3 linked regions of the Stegostoma tigrinum genome follow. The protein of the gene in region 2 purifies or fractionates together with the protein of the main gene of each other region. This does not show direct contact. Links are inferred from orthologs where the notes say so. Each region holds a gene or a part of one and is shown on either strand. Other genes may lie near its edges.

Region 1 (7,357 bases), on a different chromosome or scaffold from region 2:
GTTGACAGTTCACTTCAACACATTGGTATTGACAAACATCACATATCTATATAGGTCCCTGGCAGTCATATTATTAGCAAGTTCAGTCCCAGATGACTGTTAAAATTGGGTCAGACCGGAACGTGGATTTGAAACCACAGTTAGATCACCCATAATCTTATTTGAATGAAAGAAAAGACTCAAAAAGCCTTCATTTTCTTATCCATACAGAAAACTTCATACTGAAATTATCTCAGTAGCCATTTGCCCTGCACTTCATAGAGTCCTTCCAGCGCGGAAGCAGGCCATTTGGCTTATTTAGTCCACACTGACCCTCTGAAGAGCATCCCACCCAAACCTCGACCCCCATCCCAATCCCCAGCCCCATAGTTCTGCATTTCCCATGACTAATCCACCCAACCTACACATCGTTGGGCACTGTAGGCAATTTACCATTGCCAATCCAGCTACCTACACATCTTTGGATTATGGTAAGAAACTGAAGCACTTGGAGGAAACCCATGCAGACACGGGAAGAACACACTCTTTGCATAAACAGTTACCTGAGGGCAAATCAAACCTGGGTCTGTGGTGATAAAATGTGAGGCTGGATGAACACAGCAGGCCACGCAGCATCTCAGGAGCACAAAAGCTGACGTTTCGGGCCTAGACCCTTCATCAGAGAGCGGGATGGGGAGAGGGAACTGGAATAAATAGGAAGAGAGGGGGAGGCGGACCGAAGATGGAGAGAAAAGAAGATAGGTGGAGAGAGTATAGGTGGGGAGGTAGGGAGGGGATAGGTCAGTCCAGGGAAGACGGACAGGTCAAGGAGGTGGGATGAGGTTAGTAGGTAGATGGGGGTGCGGCTTGGGGTGGGAGGAAGGGATGGGTGAGAGGAAGAACTGGTTAGGGAGGCAGAGACAGGTTGGACTGGTTTTGGGATGCAGTGGGTGGGGGGGGAAGAGCTGGGCTGGTTGTGTGGTGCAGTGGGGGGAGGGGACGAACTGGGCTGGTTTAGGGATGCTGTAGGGGAAGGGGAGATTTTGAAACTGGTGAAGTCCACATTGATACCATTAGGCTGCAGGGTTCCCAGGCGGAATATCAGTTGCTGTTCCTGCAACCTTCGGGTGGCATCATTGTGGCACTGCAGGAGGCCCATGATGGACATGTCATCTAAAGAATGGGAGGGGGAGAGGAAATGGTTTGCGACTGGGAGGTGCAGTTGTTTGTTGCGGACTGAGCGGAGGTGTTCTGCAAAGCGGTCTCCAAGCCTCCGCTTGGTTTCCCCAATAGGCCCTCCAACCCCACCACACCCGGCACCTTCCCCTGCAACCGCAGGAAATGCTACACTTGCCCCCACACCTCCTCCCTCACCCCTATCCCAGGCCCCAAGATGACATTCCACATTAAGCAGAGGTTCACCTGCACATCTGCCAATGTGGTATACTGCATCCACTGTACCCGGTGTGGCTTCCTCTACATTGGGGAAACCAAGCGGAGGCTTGTAGACTGCTTTGCAGAACACCTCCGCTCAGTTCGCAACAAACAACTGCACCTCCCAGTCGCAAACCATTTCCACTCCCCCTCCCATTCTCTAGATGACATGTCCATCATGGGCCTCCTGCAGTGCCACAATGATGCCACCCGAAAGTTGCATGAACAGCAACTCATATTCCGCCTGGGAACCCTGCAGCCTAATGGTATCAATGTGGACTTCACCAGTTTCAAAATCTCCCCTTCCCCTACAGCATCCCTAAACCAGCCCAGTTCGTCCCCTCCCCCCACTGCACCACACAACCAGCCCAGCTCTTCCCCCCCCCCACCCACTGCATCCCAAAACCAGTCCAACCTGTCTCTGCCTCCCTAACCTGTTCTTCCTCTCACCCACACAACCAGCCCAGCTCTTCCCCCCCCCACCCACTGCATCCCAAAACCAGTCCAACCTGTCTCTGCCTCCCTAACCTGTTCTTCCTCTCACCCATCCCTTCCTCCCACCCCAAGCCGCACCCCCATCTACCTACTAACCTCATCCCACCTCCTTGACCTGTCCGTCTTCCCTGGACTGACCTATCCCCTCCCTACCTCCCCACCTATACTCTCTCCACCTATCTTCTTTTCTCTCCATCTTCAGTCCGCCTCCCCCTCTCTTCCTATTTATTCCAGTTCCCTCTCCCCATCCCGCTCTCTGATGAAGGGTCTAGGCCCGAAACGTCAGCTTTTGTGCTCCTGAGATGCTGCTTGGCCTGCTGTGTTCATCCAGCCTCACATTTTATCATCTTGGAATTCTCCAGCATCTGCAGTTCCCATTATCTCTGGGTCCGTGGTGCTGTGAGGCAGCAGTGCTCACCATTCAGCCACTGTGCTGACCAATTGCAGGATTGTGGGCATTTTCAATGAACACATTCAACAGTAATACTGACAAAAGGGACAATTCTCAGGACACTCTTTACTCCGGTCAATATTGTTCAACAGCAGTTGTCATCGAGAAAGATAGACTCACCCAAGACCCTCCCTACTTGCTATCATAATATCTGGACTCTTAAATAATCTGCTTTAGTAGTACAGCTGTACCTGGGAAAGCTTAAATAAAACAGCACTCTCAACCAGGCCTATAATTCACAATGCAGAAACAGCTCAAATAGATTTCAACTTTGAGACAGTCCCTTGGCCACCACACAAAAATTTTTAATATGGTTAGTAAAATATTTGGAAGTCAAAATTACACCTCTGCCAGTCTGTTAACAAGGTAACTAGCAAACAGACAACACCTGAGAAGAATCATTAACATTTCAGATCAAAGCCTTTCAGGGAAAAGAGGGAATTATAGACCAGTTTGCCTGACATTGGGAGCAGGGAAAATGCTTGTGTCTTTATTATATATTTAATAGTGCAGTACTTGGGAAAAAAAAGTGGCATGATTGGGCAACGTCAGCATGGATTTACTAATGGGAAATCGTGCTTGACAAACCTACTGGAATTTTTCAAGGACCTTACTAGTAGAATTGTTGAGGAGAGCCAGTGTTTGGTAAGGTCCAATATAAAAGGAAACAACATGGGATTGGGATTAGTGCACTGACATAGATATTGAACTGATTGGCAGACAGGAAACAAAATAGGAATGAACAGGTCATTTTATGAGGGAAAACTATTGACCAATAGGGTTCAACAGGGATCAGTGCCTGCATCCCAGCTGTTCATAATATATATTAATGGTTTAGATTAGGGAAGTTTGTAGATTATACAAAACTGAGGGAATTGCTGGGAGGAAGAGAGATGCTATGGTTTGATTTGGACAGTTTGAGAGAGTGGGGCAATGTATGGCAGATAAATTGGAATATGAATAAACGTGAGGTTATCCACTTTGGTAGCAAAAACAAGGATGATTATCAGAATGGTGATAAATTGGGGAAGGGGAGAAGTGCACTGAAACTTGGAGACGTTGCACACTAATTGCTGTAAGTATGCATGCTGGTGCAGTTGGCAGTGAAGAAAGCAAAGGTTGGCCTTCATAGCAAGGCAATATGACTACAAAAGCAGGGCTGTCCTGGTGCATTTTAAGGCCATAATTGAGGTATTGTGTAGAGTTTTCATTTGATTATTTAAGGAAAGATGCTATGTCTTAGGAACGAGCACAGGAAATGTTTACCAGATTGATTCGTGGGATGCAGATAGAACCGTATAAACTAGAGATTGAGAATGTGAAGAGATCTTATGGAAGTCTATAAAAGTTTAAGAGGATTAGATGGAACAAATGCAGGGTGTTCTTGTTGACGGGGGAAGTCCAGAACTAGAGGCCAGCCATAAGACTGAACAGAAATGCCTTTTCCCACCCGAGTGGTGAACTTATGGAATTCTGCCATAGAAAATAATTAACAGAAAAACACCATCTCTTCAAGGAGTTCGACATAGTTCTTAGGGCTAAACGGATTCGAGGGTATGAGGAGAAAGCGAGAAGGGGCTACTGAGTTGATGATCAGCCACGATCATATTGAATGGCGGATCATACTCGAAGAACTAAATGGCTTTCACTTGCTCCTACTTTCTATCTGAGAAATGCGTTCGAAGGAGTCTCCGATCCAAATTCTTCCGCGGATTCCCCCTCGTTAGGCCTGTCACGATTGTAATATTAACTCGCTTGGCCAGCTCTAGGTACCTGCCGGTGCTCGGTATTTAAGCAGGACAGGTAAACGGTGCAGGTATACTGCTTAGATTTAATTGCTCGTGTTCGCAGTGTTGTAAACACCACCCGGGACGGGGAGAAGGCCCAGATCGAGCGGAGGGTCCAAATCGAGGCCCCAGGAGCCTACACTAGGGAGGACGAGCACTTGGCAGTTACACACCTTGTGACAACAGCCCGACCCTTTGTCTGCCCTCGGCTGCAGGCGCCACCCGGCCCAAGGAAATGGAGAAAATCCTCGAACGTCGTCGCCACCACCGAGCCGCAGCTCCCCACGCATGCGCACCCCTCGCCTCTTCTTTCCCCCACCTCACACATTTCACTTTTTTAAAAAACTGATTATTTTCCATTCATTTCTCTCAGAAATTGCCGGGCAGTGGAGGGAAACTTATAAATTCTGTATTTGGAGATCGCACAGTGCCACTTACGAAACTTCTTTTAATCAAACTGCCTGACGTCACTAGGTCAAGGGGTAACGCGGTTTTCCGGTTACTTTTGTTTTCGGAAATGACGCTGGAAACCGCAAAAGAGGCCGGGAGAAAATAAAGATGAAGGAAAAATAATTTCTGACTGACAGAAAATTTCAAAATACGAAAAGAGTTCAGGTCCGTGGTCTGGCGATGTCTAGGACCAAGCCGTGGCCGGTGAACTCTGACCTTATTTGCCGAAGGGTGGCGATTGACAGAGCACTAATCCAATCAGAGATAGGGACCTGTGGTACCGGACATGTCAATCATGGGTTCGGTGCCAATCGAAATAGTGATAGAAGGCGGGATTTCCGCAGGTGGCGGGTAGCCGTGAAGAAACGGGAGACGGCAGCGGCGGGCTCACGAATTGAGGTGAGTACAGGGACAAGATTGAGTTGACTCGGCTTGGCCCGTGGGGTTGCAGAGATAGAGCCACATGTATGCGGTTCTGAGGAAAGGTCACCGGACCCGAAACGTTAACTCTTCTTCTTCACTGATGCTGCCAGACTCGCTGAGCTTTTTCAGCAACTTTGTTTTTGTTCCTGATGTACAGAATCCACAGTTCTTTTGGTTTTTATATGCGGGCTATATTGACCAAACAGTCTGACTCTGCAGCATTAACCTGCGGCCAGGGCTGACTGTCAGAAAACGACAAAAACTCTTTACACTGCTCAGCTCAACTCAAATCAGCGCTGTGGGAGCGCCGTGCCAGAGGAGGGCTAGGAGCCTGTTTTCATGTTTTATGAGATTCAAAAATGTCTTTATGCCATTCTTTTCCTTTCTTGAAGTGTAGTGAGCTGTGCAAGCTATCGTGTATGTGGACGCCCTAAAAAGAGCAAATGTGTTAAATAATCAATGAATTGTTGCTAGGTATTAATGAACACCTATGTGTTTGATGAGCCTGGCATGGACTTCTTACTGTGTTTTGAAAAGTTGGTTTACCCTTGATTAGTTAGATTGAATTGCACTATAAAAACCTGAATGAATTGATAGTATCTAATAAAACAGTGCTCCCTGTAAATTCTGTCTGAGGGGAAGTATTTCAAAAAATGGTCATTGGAAAAAGTTGCTATGTAGCATTTACATTAAATCAAGTTAATCGGGCAGAGTCAGGATGGTTTTGCAAAAGGGAGGTCATGTTTGAGGAAGTAATGTGCTGTGGATGGAGGGGAACACGTAAAAAACTGAACTTGATTTCCAGATGGAAATTGTGAAAGGTTATTGTGGAAAATGAAAGCTCATGGTGTAATTGCTAGCTTATTGTCATGGTCAGAACTTTGACTGGATAACTGGAAGCAGAACGTAGGGTCTCTTTCAGTTTGGCAGTATGGAACGACTAATGGGCTGGTGCTTGGACCTCAACTGTACAATTAATAGAAGTGACTAGGATGAAGGGATGGACTGTTGCCAAATTTGCTGTTATGCACGTATATGTGAGAAAGTGACATAACAAGGAGACTGCAAAATGATGCAGGTAGATTACGTGAATGGCCAGGTGAAGTATAATATGGGGAAAATGAGAAAAATGTCTATCTTAACAGGAAGGATTTTAAAACAAAAAGACAACTCATCTAAACGGTGAGACACTGCAGAGGCCAGAGATGCAAAAAGATCTGGGTGTCTGCTAGTACACTAATTGAAAAAGTTTAGAATGCGGGTACAGCAGTTAATTAGGGTAACTTATAGAATGTTACTGTTTAATGCAAGAGGATTTAACTACAAAAATTGTGAATGCATATCTAGCATTCTGTGTACTGTGTTCGTCACTTCATTTACAGAAGCATGTAAATGCTTTCTAGTCAGTTTGGAGACTTACCAGACAAATAGCTGAATTGAGTGGATTGTCATTTAAGCAAAAGTTGGACAGTCTAGGTTTATTTATGGTGGAGTTCTGAAGAGCGGGGTGGGGGGGTGATCTTGATTTAAAACATAAGACTTTGAGAGGTCTTGACTCAGTAAGTATAGAGCTGGTGTGCATTCTTTTATTAGAGTTAAGAACTAGGGGTTACTGTTTAAAGCTCAGACGTCACCCGTTTAAAATAATCTGAGGTTTCAGGTTCTTTAGAACTCTTTTGAAAATGTGGTAGCAGAATCTCTTGTATTTTTTAAAGCAGACGTCGATAGATTCTTGATAACGGGTAGAAGATTGGAGTGAATCGATGACCTAGTGGTATTATCTCTGTTAATCCAGAAACCCAGATAATGTTCTGAGGACCAGGGTCCGAATCCTGCCAGGGCAGATGGTGGAATTTGAGCTCAATAAATACCTAGAAACAAGAATCTAATGATGACTGTGAATCCATCATCAATTGTCAGGAAAAAACCCATCTGAATCACGAATGTCCTTTTAGGGAAGGACCTGCCATCCTTAGCTTACGTGTGACGCAACCCACAGCAATGTGGTTGACTCAGCTGACCTCTGGGCTGTTAGGTATGGGCAATAAATGCTGCCCAGCCAGCAATGCCCTCCTCTTGTGAATGAACAAAAAAAAGGAAGAAATGTAGAACTGTGGTTACAAAACAATGGATTGAATAACCTACTCTTGCTCCTTCATATTGATACTCTGGTGGGGTACAGTAATTGCATCTTCCTCTCCTCCCATACCATGTTCCTCATTCTGTAACCCCAAGATGGTGTCATTAACTCTGACACTGAGTAGGCTGTCAGGGGACTTGTGTTCTGGGATGCAGAAAATAAGAGACTCCAACTGTACTGTCTTCTACGCCCGGCCAC
Region 2 (7,357 bases):
TAGCAAAGAAGCATTTGTGCAGACTTGTTACTTTTCCTTCACTTTTATACTTTACCAATTTGATTAATCAGGGCTGAGAGTTCAATACAGGTCCTGAAACCATAGTTATAAGCTCCACATTAGTCTCAACAATTAGAAACCAAAAGCAACATCAGAGCTTGGACAATAAAGTATAAAGAGGCTGGTTTGGGTTAAAACCTAGCACCCATGACGAATATATTGTAAAATTAGTCCACAAGTGCAAACTGAAGGTTTGCTCACACCTGCAAAATTCAGGCACCAGCTGTAAATCCTGCAGTGAAGATCAAGTTAGTCTGATCAATTCTAAGCTCACCATTAGAACCCATTCTTCCCCTTTCAATACATTGCCTTCTTGCAGGTTGCCAAATAACACTGTTACTTCACACTAAAATAGTCCATTGATGTGTTAAGCATCTCCAAAAATTTAATTCTCACAAGCTCTCTATCAGCTTCAGCTAATCATCACTGCCCATTATCACGTCCATCCTGACTAAACTGAATTGATTTCTTGTGCCAATTTCAAAGGCCCTACCCCACTCATTCAATCCATGTATAGCTTCTCTTTAATCTATGAAATCTGTAACACTACACTCCAGCCATTGGTATCCATTTCTTTAAATTGGTTTTACTTCTGTCTCCCAACACATATATTCTAATTGCTTAGTACACATCCTTGAAATTTTTCATACTTCTCTACCTGCTTCCTATAGCCTCATGAAAACTGAACTGTTCAAATGCACTACTAGTCTTCCATTGTTCATTTCTCCCCCTTGTAAAATGCTGAGATGGTCACCAATCTCATTAATATAAGTTGTAGTTGGAGTGAAGCTGACGAAATAGAATGCTGGCGTAATTCCAATTGTAAGGACTCTGGAGGAGGAACACTACATTGGAACAAAATAGCAATTATTTTCATAGCTTCCTATGAACACATAAACCAAAAATTCACCAGGATGTTACCAGGACTTGAGGGTTTTTTTATTCATTTTATGGGATGTGGGCACTGCAGGCTGGCCAGCATTTATTGTCCATTCCTAGCTGCCCTTGAGAAGGTGGTGGTGAGCTGCCTTCTTGAACTGATGTAGCCTATCATTGTGGGTTGACCCACAATGCCATCGGGGAGGGAATTCCAGGATTTTGACCCAGTGACTGTGAAGGAACATCAATGTATATCCAAGTCAGGATGGTGAATGGCTTGGAGGGGAACTTGAACTTGGTGGTGTTCTTGTGTATCTACTGCCCTTCTCTTTCGAGATGGAAGTTATCATGGGTTTGGAAGGTGCTGTCAGAGGATCTTTGGTGAATTTCTGCAATGCATCTTGTAGATAGTACACACTGCTGCAACTGTGTGTTGGGGGTGGAGGGAGTGAATGTTTGAGAATGTAGTGCCAAAATTTTGGCATTAGTCCCTAGATGTTAGCAAGGAGGACTGTAGAGGGTTGACAGGGCTTTTAATAGACAGAAAGCAGAGAGTAGGAATTAACAGACCATGCTCAGGAAAGCAGGCTGTTAAATAATGCACAAAACTATATTGACTTGTGTTCATAAGCTATTTTCAGTCCAATAATTTCAGCTTAGGCACCAACTGTCATATTTCAAAATTTGCTGATGACACCAATTTGGGTGGGTACATTGTGAAACAGACTAAGAAAGGCTTCAAGAAGAATTTAGACAAACTTAGTGAATTGGCTAGAATATGCAGGTGGAAAATAATGTGAGTCAATGTGCAGTTATTTGCTTTAATTGAGAAACAAAAACAGAAAAGCAGACTTTTTCCTAAATGGTGAGAGGTTGGAAACTGAGGATGTCCAAAGATCCTACAAGTTAGCATTCAGGTTCAACAAATAACTAGGAAGGCATATGGTATGCTGGCTCTCCATCATAAGGGGACTTGAAAACAGGAATAAAAATATCTTGCTGCAGTTGAATAAAGCCTTTGCATGACCTCACCTGGAGTACAGTGTGCAGTTTGATTCCCATATCTAACAAAGGGATATGCATGCCAGAACAGGAGGGGAATGGAGGTTCACTAGATTAATCCCTGGGGTAGTGTAATTTTTCTATGATGGATTGAAGATGATGGATCTGCATTCTCTAAAGTTTCAAGACAAAATGAGGGATGAACTCACTAAAACTTACATAATGCTTACAGGATGCGAGAAGGCAGGGAAGCTGTTTCATCTGGCTGGTAAGTATAATTCCAGGGGACATAAACTAAGGAAGGGTAAGCTAAGTTCAAATCAAGACGTGCATGAATCTTGTCACTCAGAGGGTAATGAATATTGGAATTCTCTACCCAGGGGCTTCGGAAACTAAAAAAAAATTTGAGATATTCAAGTCAGAAATTAATGATATCAAACAGTACTAATATAGTGCAGGGAAGTGGTGTTGAAGTAAACGAATGGTGATGCAGGCTTGACTAGTTACATGGTCTGTTCCTGTTCCCAATGTAAATGCTAAGTTGCTGTTGTTGAACACATCCTGGTTTAATACTTCATCCAAAAAGCATAACATCTTCAAAGATGCAGAGTTGTCTCAAAATTCACTTAAATATTGAGCACTTACATGCTCAGCTACTGGAGGGCAGGTTAAATTTACTATATTCAGACTTGGAGATGAGCTGATCCCAAGTGATACTAGGAACGAGGCCAAAGTCAGTTGTTCCAAACAGCAAACCAAGCTTGTTTATGGTGGATCCTTGGTGAGCAATTGAAGAGAGATAGACTCAGTTTTTCGCAAAGGGTCAGAACATCAGCTAAGATCATTCCAGAGAAGTTTCTAACCCATTCACACTCATCCAAACAGGGGCAGCATCAAATCAAGGAAACAGCAAGGACACAAATGTTGGCATTATCTGCATACTTGGGTAGAATGTAACGGTACTAACAGCTGAAATTGTGGTCAGGCAATATATATTTTAAAAAACTGGTAGAAGATTAACATTCTGGGAACACACATGGCATAGGAACAAAAAGATAAATATTTGTGATGATGTGCTGAATGTTTCAACTCAAGCCATTGGGAAAAACTACAGAATAGAACAGATGCAACCAGTGATCAATCTTGTGAAATGTAGTTAAAGCTGAAGCAAAAATCTGTCGTCAGAAATAAAGAAGATTCCCTCACCACACAAGTGTTTGGAAGCATATATATTAACAAAAACATTCCTCCTTACATCATTCATGTACATATGCAGTACAAACATTTTCCACTACTCTTAAACTAAATGTATGGAAAAGGAATAGACCACCCAGTTCATTAAGCTTGGGCCACCACATAATACAAATGTCATTGACTTTCTGCCTTAACTTCATAAATCCTATATCAGGAATTTGTGAGACACCAACAATCCATCAATCTTAACCTTGAATATACCTAATAACACAGCACCTGTTAGTTTAGTCCAAATACCTCATCCTTTATCCTGAGATTATGGCCCCTCATTTTTCGTTTAACATCCAGAGAAAACAGCTTATCTATATTCACCCTATCATGTCCTGTAAGTTTCAATGAGTTCAACTCCAAATCTTCAAAGCTCTAAGAAATATATACCCAATCTCCTCAATCCCTGGTATAACAAACATGCTGTCGGAGGGATTAATTTGATGAACTGCCATTGTGCTCCTTCTATGGCAAGTACATCCCCTTTTCAGAAGGGTCGAGTGACATACTGGTAAACACCCTACATCTGAACCAGAAGGCCTGGGTTAAAGTCCCTCTGATGCTCTAGAGGTACATCATAATATTTCTGAACAAGTTGATCAAAAAATATTTATCCCCTGCTCAGGATAGGAAAACAAAACTGTAGGCAGTACTCCAAGACAGAATTCTAAAGATTCAAAATCTAACCCATTAAGTGATAACAAAGTGTGAAGCTGGATGAACACAGCAGGCCAAGCAGCATCTTAGGAGCACAAAAGCTGATGTTTCGGGCCTAGACCCTTCATCAGAAAAAGATTCTCGGATTCTCCAGCATCTGCAGTTCCCACTATCTCTAACCCATTAAGTGCGTTGTTGTAAAAACTTCTCCTCATCTCAGTGTTAGGTACTCGGTCCTCTATGCCGAACCACCTTTCTCCTCACACCACCACCCAAAAGTCAAGGGGAAACAAACTCTCAACCTGGTTTCAGTCAGACCAAGCACTTTGCTTATTCAGCTCACTCCGAACAAAGTTGACCCCAATCGCTCCAGCTTTACCATTGAACAAACAAGCAGACACAAAGGAAAACGTTGCATTAAACAGCCTGGAAACACAGGCCTCAGGTTCCTTGGCCAGCTCAGAAAATGGCCGGGTTAACAACCGGTCCGGGGGGGGGGGAAGTGAGGGAAAGAACATTCATCATGACGAAGGTATATTGTGCCTGACCCACCAAGCTCCGGCTACCAGGGACCAATAAACTAGCGGCCTCGAACCATCAGCCCCGCGACTACCTGAACACGCCTCCAACAGCCACCAAAACCGACCGGAAGAAAGTCGCGGCGCACCGGAACTTACTGTTATCAGTAACTTTATTAACAAAGAACACTGGCGCGATGCGCCAAAAACCGGAAGAAGGTCGTGGACCACCGGAAGTGGGGCTTTTCAATAACTTTATTGACAAGAAGACGCGGTGGATTCTGAGGGAGGTCGAGCGTTGGGGTGAGGTGCGGTTTTTGTTCCGTCTGCCGCTCGGTGTGCCGCGTAGTGCCAGCCTCCGCCGCAGCTCGAAGTCATGATTTGTCGCTAGATTGGGCGTGCCCGTGTTTATTGACTTTTAGATATGCCGCAGACTTTATCGCGATTTTGTACCAACGGCACGCACCTCCCGCTCGGCCTTCGCTTCCAGAGATAACGCTCACCAGGTGGGGCAGCTTTGTCCAGGGTGGTGGCTGTGTCTGAAGGCAAGGAACTGCTCATTAACATCCACCCCCCCCCCCTCCCCTCGGTGAGGGAAGGGGTGATATCGAGGGGGAAGGGGCCTTTCTGCCAGCTACCATGAGATACAATGAGAAGGAGCTGCTGTGTCTCTCCAAACAACCGGCCGAGAAGGCAGCCGAGCTCACCATGAAGGGCCCAAAGCGCAACGACGGTAAGGAGCAATCTAAGCTGCTCGAGAAACAAAAATAGAACTTGCTGGAAAAGCTCAGCAGGTCTGGCAACATTTGTGGGGTGGGGTGGGGTGGGTTGGGGAGAAACAGTTAAGGTTTCGGGCCCGGTGACCCTTCCTCAGAATTGGGGTCGGATGGGTTGAAAGGGATTTCACTTGCTCAGCAGGGAGGATGAAAACAGTCCTGGGGTGTTACATTGGAACCAATACCTACCTCATAATTTTGTAACCCGCTGGTGACATTGAGTGCAACGTGCAAGAGTTGACTCTGCCCACCTTTCCTTCGAGTATCTAAATTAGCAGTTATCACTTCTACTTAAACCCAGTTGCCTGTTCCATTTCTTAAATTCGCTGCAAGCACTACAATCAGAAAACAGTGGTTATGCACCGCAAATTGTTTAGCTCTATTATATGTCAATGTTAGCTGTCGATGGAGGGGACAGCAGAGAGTGTAAAGTAAATGCCAACCTATTATGATTGCATTTTATAAGTTTTTACTGTAACAATAACCCCTACCCTGGGGACAGGGAAACCACATGAACCAAAAAAATGTTATGAATGTTTCTTTTTTAAAAAAAGAAAGCTTCTATTTTAGTGTGGGGTCTGTAGCAGAAAAAGAGTGGGTTGGGGGGAGAGGGAGAGATTTGAGTGTGAAGTCTCATAGCCAGAAAACAAGATCATCAATAAATGGAGTTAAAGGGCAGCTGCTCATTGGGCTGGAAAGACAAACACAAGGTGGCCTGCAGATGTGGGAGTAATGGTGATTAGACTGTAAATGTATTTGCCGATAAGGAGAGTAACATAAAATTGTTAAAATCTGGATGTTAATGTGAGTCTTGTGGATAGAGGTGATGGTCGAACTGGGTTTGTTGTGCAATAAATAAGTCTTTTGAGTATGCTGAGTTCATGTTGAGTGGTCTGGAGGTGACTAGCATGAATGAGGGTTTAAATGGCCAATGATCCTGTATAGGAATGGAGACATTTGTTCATATGAGCATGATTTTTGTGATGTGTTGAAATGATTTCAAATTCAGTTTGGAGATTGATAACCATCCAATTCATTCAAAAATGTTGACTAGAGAGAGGTCTAAGAGGTCTGACATCTGTATTTACAAAGCTAAAAATGCTGACTATAGTTAGTATGTTGAGAGCATCTCTAGAGAGCGATACAGAGTTAATGTTTCAGGTGTGGAAAATATCAGCTGTAACAAGCTTTAGTAAGTGAAGGAGCATGGGAATGTGGATTTGGGAACAGAAGTAGGCCATTTGGCCTTTCCTTTTGCCTTTCCCATTAAATCATACGTGATCTGATTGTGGTCTCCATTCCATTTTCCTATCCAAAACTATCCACTGTATCAAATTCACTCATGGCCTTGTATATTTCAATAAGATCCCCTCATTCTACTAAGTTCTTGGAAGGAACTAGCCCACCCAGCTCAGTCGTTTCTTTGTAAGATGAGCCCTTCATATCAGAAATGAGCCAATTGAACCTTGTACACTTTTTTGAAAAAAAGTGTACATGTATTTGAGATATGGTTTCACCAAAGCCCTGCAGCAATAAAATGTTCCTGCTTATGTATTCCATTCCCCTTGTAATAATTGCCATTCTATTTGTCTCCCTAATCACTTGCCAGAGCTGCAAACTGATTTTTGTTTTGATTTGCATCACAGGTCACACAGACACAGTTTGGCAATCTCTGCCTGCACTGTTTTAAATAGTGGGTACATTTCCGTTTTTCCTTCCAAAGTAGACAAATTCACATTAAATTCAATCTGCCAGATTTTTGCCCTCTGTCAAATACCTGTTTCTAGACCCTTTACCTGCTTTTGGCAACTTACCCATCTTACATTTGACAATGATAATTGCTAATGAGTCTGCCCTATATTCAGCCCCATCATCCAAGAGGCAAGGCAAGTGAATGAGAGAAGAAAACTTAATCCCACCTGCCATCACCCATCTTGGTTGGCCTAATTCTACTTGATTAAAACCTCTAATGTCTGTTATATTTAAAGTTTTTTTTCCTTTAAAGATTGCATCCCTCAAATATTAGCTTTTTTCTCCACAGATGTTACTTGCTCCACTGAATAGCTCCTGCAATTTGTTCACTTCAGCGTCTGCAATATTTGCTTTGTGGGAGAGTTTAAACTGAAGCACAAGTTTGAATGAAAAGCAGTCCGAAACATTAACAAGTCATTCTCTTTCTAAATTCTATATATAACTAACATTTAAAAGCAGTTGTGTTAGGAC
Region 3 (7,357 bases), on a different chromosome or scaffold from region 2:
CCAGAGAGGGGACGTCAAAACATGCAACTCAGGCGATCTCCTCTTGTCACCCACGCAAACGGGGGCCCGGCCATTCCTCACGAAGCAGGCGATGGTGAGCTGCCCTTCCTGTGTGTGTGTGTGTGTGTGTGTGTGTGTGTGTGTGTGTGTGTGGGTGTGGGTGGGGGTGTGGGTGGGGGTGTGGGTGGGGGTGTGGGTGGGGGTGTGGGTGGGGGTGGGGGTGGGGGTGGGGGTGGGGGTGGGGGTGGGGGTGGGGGTGGGGGTGGGGGTGGGGGTGGGGGGTGCTGCCTTCTTGAACTGCTACAAGTCCACCTGCTGCAGGTTGACCCACAAATGCCCTCAGGGAGGGAATTCCAGGATTTTGACCTCGGAACGGCGATACAGTTCCAAGCCAGGATGGTGAATGGCTTGGAGCGGAACATGCAGGGGCTGCTGCCCTTCCAGATGGAAGCGGGTGGTGGGTTTGGAAGGTGCTGCCTGAGGATCTTTAGTGAGTTTCTGCAGAGCATCTTGTAGATGGTACACATTGCTGCAACTGAGCGTCGGTGGGTGGAGGGAGCGGGATGTCTGCGCAGGGACTGCTTTGCACTGGGTGGCATCGTGTTAGCTCAGCTGGCTGAATTGCCAACATACGATTTGGAGTGACACAGGCTGCAAAGGTTCAATTCCCACTCCAGCCATTGAGGGCCCGGCACCTCCCTCCCTCGACTTTCCTCCAGGTCACGGAAGGCAATGGAACTCAATTCGGAGAAAAGAACACCAAGGAATTGGCTCAAGATTGAGAAGGGGCAGACAAAGTGCCTAGACTGAGCACAAATGCCATGCTAAGTTCACTATCACTGCTCCATCCCTGTAACCACATCAGCGGGAATGAGGACATTCCTGAAACTCAGAGTCAGCTATATCCCCTCCCCCTGTTGGCTCACTCGGCCATGGCCCAGCCGAGCTCCCAGTCGGGGATGATTTGTAATAGTCATAAAGCTCCAGGAGCCTAGCCTCAAATCCCATTGCTGGGACCTATCCACAGGCTTTCCATAATAGGTTGGTTCCACAGCGGCTGGGATACAGCAGTGCACCCAAAGCTCTCAGTTTTCATACATTTCTATGTTCTATTTCCATTAACCTTTGTGTTTTGGTGCTGTCAGATCTGGTTACTGTGCTTTATTTTTAAGTACACAAAGAGCAGCCCAGTTCCCAGGGAGACAAGGTGAGAAAGGTTCTCGCGGACGCCGGGTCTGACCTACCCTAGCTTCTGATTCAGGAGACGTTTCTCCTTCAGGGCAGCAAGCTTCACCCGAATGTCCTCCTGCTGCTTCATGGCGATGGGGTTAATGGCTGGGACCACAACTGGGTCCTCATTTGTCCCGGTCTCAGCTGCAGCAGTGTGTGGGGCGGGGGGGGGGGGGGGGGGGGGGGGGGGTGGGGGGGAAGAGGGGGGCAAGGCAGAGAGAGCGAGAACATGTTAGCACAGCAACTCCCTTCGAAAACAGACAAGTTCACAGTGTGGTCATTGCTGAGATTTGGGAATCCCAGAGACTAGTCTGGGCATGTCACGATGGCCTGTCACGCTGCCTGAGAGTACATAATTGCAGGAGGAACTCCACAAATCAGCATCCCCACAGATCCATTACCATAGAAGGGGTCTCTCCTGAAAGACGCCAACCCACCGCAATGCCCTGGAACGCGTCCAAGATGATGGCTCCAAGCCTCTGAGGTTTTGGACCTTACAACCTCCTCTAAGTCTAGCAGTAAGAGACTGTTGCCTTCTCAGCTGTGAAGCTGTCAACCTTAAATTGAAGGGTAAAAACACTAGGGGAAAAATAAAAGCTCCATCTGGTTTTTGTCTCGAGGTCCAAACTCTCATTCCATTTTCAAATGTCAGAGCACCAGGACTCTGTCCCAAATCTCTCGTGAGTGGCCTGCTCTTCCCCTGAAGGCTTTCTAACCCTAAAGCCAGCACCACCCTCACCTTCATTCTCACACAACACAGGAAGCCATTTAGCTCACCGTGGGTCTCCTTTTGAAAGAGCGATTCATTTAGTCCCAGTCTCCTCCACACCCAGTTTACAGAGCCCCTGCAGGGTGTAAGTAGGTCATTCGGCCCAACTGGTCCACACTGCCCCTCCGAACAGCACCCCACCCAGACCCATTCCCCTACCCCTACATTTCCCACCTTTAGCCCACCCTAACCCGCACATCCCTGGGCACTATGGGACAATTTAGCACGGCCAATCCACCCTAACCTGCACATCCCTGGGCACTATGGGACAATTTAGCACGGCCAATCCACCCTAACCCGCACATCCCTGGGCACTATGGGACAATTTAGCACGGCCAACCCACCCTAACCTGCACATCCCTGGGCACTATGGGACAATTTAGCACGGCCAATCCACCCTAACCCGCACATCCGTGGACACTATGGGACAATTTAGCACGGCCAATCCACCCTAACCTGCGCATTTCCGGAAACCGGAGCACCCAGAGGAAACCCACGCAGATGCAGACAGTCGCCCGAGGGTGGAATCGAACCTGGGTCCCTGGTGCTGTGAGGCAGCAGTGCTCACCGCTAAGACACCGTGTTCTTGTCCCGCAGTCCTGGAATTGGGACTTTTTAAGCTCAATTATTTATCTTCAAAAGTTCCCACTGAATCTGCTCCCACCACCCTTTCGTGAAGCACTTTCCAAGTTACAACAACTCTGCACTTCAGAAAAAAAATCTCATTTCCCACTCTTCAGATTCCCTTCACCCTCCTGTCAGTAGAATTAATCCCCCAGTCCTTGCGTGATCACAACCAGTGCTGTTTGCCAGCAAATCTCGCCTCAACCCTCCCCCCGCCACCTCCCCCAGGTAACTGAAGTCACTCGTAGCCTGGGTCCTATTTCTGCTCAACTCTGTCTGCAATCGATCCAGAACGGCCCTTTCAGTTCAACTGTTCGGTCCCTCCGATACCCGTTCCCCCTTTCTACAGCACAGAAATCACTTTCAGAACAAACTGGACTCACTCTTTTTCGAATCATTTACTTCCAGGGGTTTGAGCCCGAGCTTGGCTCTCAGCTTGCTGCAGAGAACAGAGGACAATTAGATCAGAAGGCTTCACTTTTCTATAAATGCCGATCACAGGGCCAACCGCGAGCATTTGACGGCCAATCAAGCAATTCTGAAATCTGCCAGCCATCCTGCGCACAGCAAGCTCCCACAAATAAGGATGACAATGACAATGCAGCGATACTAATGCTGGGTGGTGAACGAACGCTGGCGCTAAGGACACAGGCAGGATGCTCGTCCTTTGCTTCTTAGCTATGGGATTTTTTTTATAAATAACCGACCCAACAAGGAAGATGGGGCTTCAGTTTAACACGATAGCGTGGAGCTCCCTCAGCGCTGACCCTCCGACAGTACAGCGCTCCCTCGGTCCCGAAAGGGCAGCCCTGTGCCTCTCATGTGTCCCACAGTCACCACCACAGATCAGATGGACCGAATGGCCCGAGACTGCTGCAAATTCACTCACTTTGTTTCTTCGATGCTCAAGGAGGCGCTCGCAGCACCAGACTTTGTCCCTGGAGCTGAAGGTGAAGAGAATGTGCAGTGAGAACAGGTTCACTCGACATGCAGCACATTCCTAATCGCTGACCACAACCACCCCCTGGAATCCAGGAGTGTCCAAAAGCTTAAAGCTTGCTGCAGGGACACATCCGCAGGAGGCTTGCACACACCTCCAGACTGCTGCCCGCAAAGACCCTCACCCGACAATCCCTCCCAGTGCCCTACTCCTCACTTGGAGGGACCCTGTCTGTACCAACCTCACCCCGGCTGGTATAGGGGAAGGGGTACCCCTTCCCCTGGCACCTCACTGCAGAGAGACCCCAACCTTCCCACCAACCAGGACATGGAAAGTGGGGGGGACTCTGGCCCCAGTCCTCAAAGATGGAAGGGGCTTTGGCCCCGATCCTTGCTCGTGCCAGGGTCAGGGAGCGACGCTGACCCTCAGCCGCACCCCCCAACGCAGAGAGTAAGAGATTCTGACACCAAAGCCCACCCTGAACGGATAGGGAAGGGGGGGAGGGGGGGAACATGAGACACTCTGGCCCCCCAGCCCGTGCTCTGCCCCAGGGGGGTCTGCAGATTCCCTACCCTAGGCCGTTTCCCACCCCCACCCCAATTACTCTCGTCACCCCGGCATCTCTGACCTGCCTCCTCGGTCTTCTCCCTCTTGGGGTGCCGTTCTGGCTGGGCGTCGGCGGCTGGTGCGGGGAGGGGTCTCTTGTCCCGCTCGCGGTCCCTGTCCCGGTGACGGCGGCCCTCCCTCTCCCGGCTGCCCCCGCGCTGCTTGCGCTCCTTGTGTTTGTGCTTCTTGTGGCGGGCCGACTCCTCCCCACCCCCTGAGCCCCTCTCCCTCTCCCTCTCCCGGTGCTTCTTGGAGGATCCCATTGTCCGCCTTTAAACCCCCCACAAACCCCAATCCCTGTGTCTGTCTGTGTGTCTGTGTGTGTCTGTCTGTCTGTCTCTCTGTCTCTGTCTGTCTGTCTCTCTGTCTGTCTGTGTGTGTCTGTCTGTCTCTCTGTGTCTGTCTGTCTGTCTCTCTGTCTGTCTGTCTGTGTGTGTCTGTCTGTCTGTCTCTCTGTGTCTGTCTGTCTGTCTCTCTGTCTGTCTGTCTGTGTGTCTCTCTGTCAGTGTGTCTCTGTGTGTCTCTCTGTCTGTGTGTCTGTCTGTCTCTCTGTCTGTCTGTGTGTGTCTGTCTGTCTGTCTCTCTGTGTCTGTCTGTGTGTCTCTCTGTCTGTGTGTCTCTGTGTGTCTCTCTGTCTGTGTGTCTCTCTGTCTGTGTGTCTCTGTGTGTCTCTCTGTCTGTGTGTCTCTGTGTGTCTGTCTGTCTCTCTGTCTGTGTCTGTCTCTCTCTGTCTGTCTGTGTGTCTCTCTGTCTGTGTGTCTCTGTGTGTCTCTCTGTCTGTGTGTCTCTCTGTCTGTGTGTCTCTGTGTGTCTGTCTGTCTCTCTGTCTGTGTCTGTCTCTCTCTGTCTGTCTGTGTGTCTCTGTCTGTGTGTCTCTGTGTGTCTGTCTCTGTCTGTCTGTCTCTGTCTGTCTGTCTCTGTGTGTGTCTGGGGGGGTGGTGCAGAGATGGGTCTGACAGCAGCAGGGGGCGCGCACTCGATCACGCGCAACTCACCGCAGACGCGCGCTCTCTCACACGGCCCACGGCGGGAGTGGGGGGCGGGGGTGAGCGCGCTCTACACGCACCCGCGGGTGGTGGGTGCGCGCGCGCACTAACTGTCGGTCGCGCGCACCACGGCTCGGCTGTCCCGGAAAACGCGCGGTCACGCTCCCGAGAGATGGATGTTTGACGAGGGAGAGGGGGGACGACGCGCGTCCCAGGTCGGTCACGCGCGCCCCCGGGAGCGCGCGCAATCACAGAAAAGGGGGGGTAGGCGCGCGCGCTGAGGTTCGGCGGAGGGTGGGGGAGCGAGCGACAGGGTCGCGCGCTCGCAATCGACGGGGGCGCGCTACATCCCGCGCTTGTGGTTCACGCGCTGTTAGGGAGCTCCGAGCCGGGAACGCGCGCCGTTCACCGAGGCCGCGCCTTTCGGGGTTTAGTGGCGTGCGCGCTCCCCTCCCCGTCGGACACGCGTGCCGCGCGCGCTCCCGTTGCCGGGACCGGTGTCTCCTCGCGCTCCGGCCGAAAGACGTCGCCTCCGACTAAGATGGCCGCCACTTTCCGGTTGACCCTTCACCCCGTCCCCTCTCCCTAAACGTCACATCCTTCCCCGCCCTCTTAAAGCGGCAATTTACCCGCTTTTTTAAAAAAATCGATTATGTTTCCCTCCTAATCGTCTCTTCACAATAAAATGTTTTGGCTACAGATTCCGGCACGATTTCTCCATCCACTTTCACACTTCTACTGCTGAGTCTATTTAAAGTTGTACAATGGAAAGTATTCCCCCTTCTAAAGCCCTCAATCCAGGCCACTCTCTCCACACTCAGCACAACCTCATTGATCTTCAGCAAACCGGCCTCCAAATGCATCCGACACTGTTTAATTCAATAACTTTTTCTCCCAGTAGGGAGAGTGAGTGTATTGACAGAGTTTTATGTACAGTTTGGAGCTGTAGAGGGAGCTTTACTCTGAATCTAACCCCGTGCTGTCCCTGGGGAGTGTTTGATGGGGAACGGTGTTGAGGGAGCTCTACTCTGTATCTAACCCCGTGCTGCCCCTGTCCTGGGGAGTGTTTGATGGGGGACAGTGTAGAGGGAGCTTCACTCTGTATCTAACCCTGTGCTGCCCCTGTCCTGGGCAGTGTTTGATGGGGAACAGTGTAGAGGGAGCTTCACTCTGTATCTAACCCCGTGCTGTCCCTGTCCCTGGGAGTGTTTGATGGGCGGACAGTGCAGAGGGAGCTTTACTCTGTATCTAACCCCGTGCTCTCCCTCCCCTGGGGAGTGTTTGATGGGGGACAGTGCAGAGGGAGCTTTACTCTGTATCTAACCCTGTGCTCTCCCTGCCCTGGGGAGTGTTTGATGGGGGACAGTGCAGAGGGAGCTTTACTCTGTATCTAACCCTGTGCTCTCCCTGTCCTGGGGAGTGTTTGATGGGCGGACAGTGCAGAGGGAGCTTTACTCTGTATCTAACCCCGTGCTCTCCCTGCCCTGGGGAGTGTTTGATGGGGGACAGTGCAGAGGCACCTCTAAGTGCGATGTGATCACTGTAGCTGAGTGTTGGGGCATGGATTGAGGCGAATTAACTGGCTTCGTGAAACTATCATCATTGCAATAATTCTGACATCCCCGATCATCCTCTTGGGACGTGGGGTCGATTCCTACTGCGGCAGAAGAAAATTAAACGGGATAATTGCGGAGTTGAAACCCCCATTCTGAGTTTCAATTCTGTAGAATAAAAATAATCTGATCACTGACGACCTTTCGAGAAGGAAACACCCGAAGCAGTGACGTGCTCCCGCTTCTAAGCAATTGTCTCTTAACTGGCCTCCGAAATGGTCAAACAAAAATTGAGGACGGTCCACAGACACGTCCACGAGAGCGAAATAAATGAAAGTGAGTTAGTTTGAGTCCGTGCCGCTACAGTGGACCGCAACGAGGGGTGAGAGCGGGGATCAGAAGGGATGGAAGGAAAATATCACCAAGACAACACCCAGGTTCAGCCGGTAAATGGGAAAGCAAATGGATTGCTGGCTTTTATCTCAAAGGGAATGAAGTGTCAGATATTATGACGACCTGCTGAAACTAAGAGGAAATATCGAAACGTCAGCCTTCCTGCTCCTCAGGTGCTGCCTGGCCTGCTGTGGTCATCCAGCTCTACACCTTGTTATCTAATTGACAGTTTTTTAAAAAAATTCATTTTGTGGGA

What was found.
Region 1: the proteins of sf3a2 (region 2) and ddx42 purify together in Homo sapiens (affinity purification with mass spectrometry; 3 studies listed by BioGRID and IntAct, with this or other methods). This does not show direct contact. The link is inferred for Stegostoma tigrinum from reciprocal best matches to the Homo sapiens genes SF3A2 and DDX42.
Region 3: the proteins of sf3a2 (region 2) and sart1 purify together in Homo sapiens (affinity purification with mass spectrometry; 3 studies listed by BioGRID and IntAct, with this or other methods). This does not show direct contact. The link is inferred for Stegostoma tigrinum from reciprocal best matches to the Homo sapiens genes SF3A2 and SART1.

What each region holds. Positions count from the first base shown.
Region 1 is NC_081384.1:40,116,306-40,123,662, forward strand, and holds the start of ddx42 (ATP-dependent RNA helicase DDX42), read right to left. Parts: upstream 4,549-7,357; 5' UTR 4,320-4,548; intron 1-4,319. UniProt on the Homo sapiens protein: ATP-dependent RNA helicase that binds to partially double-stranded RNAs (dsRNAs) in order to unwind RNA secondary structures. Unwinding is promoted in the presence of single-strand binding proteins.
Region 2 is NC_081383.1:19,452,020-19,459,376, reverse strand, and holds the start of sf3a2 (splicing factor 3A subunit 2), read right to left. Parts: upstream 4,507-7,357; 5' UTR 4,454-4,506; exon of another isoform or gene 4,393-4,453; intron 4,313-4,392; exon of another isoform or gene 4,143-4,312; intron 2,719-4,142; exon of another isoform or gene 2,587-2,718; intron 94-2,586; exon of another isoform or gene 1-93. Other genes in the region: plekhj1 (pleckstrin homology domain-containing family J member 1), read left to right, coding at 4,998-5,091. UniProt on the Homo sapiens protein: Component of the 17S U2 SnRNP complex of the spliceosome, a large ribonucleoprotein complex that removes introns from transcribed pre-mRNAs.
Region 3 is NC_081395.1:7,243,759-7,251,115, reverse strand, and holds the start of sart1 (U4/U6.U5 tri-snRNP-associated protein 1), read right to left. Parts: upstream 4,721-7,357; 5' UTR 4,433-4,720; coding exon 4,192-4,432; intron 3,568-4,191; coding exon 3,513-3,567; intron 3,063-3,512; coding exon 3,007-3,062; intron 1,375-3,006; coding exon 1,245-1,374; intron 1-1,244. UniProt on the Homo sapiens protein: Plays a role in mRNA splicing as a component of the U4/U6-U5 tri-snRNP, one of the building blocks of the spliceosome. May also bind to DNA.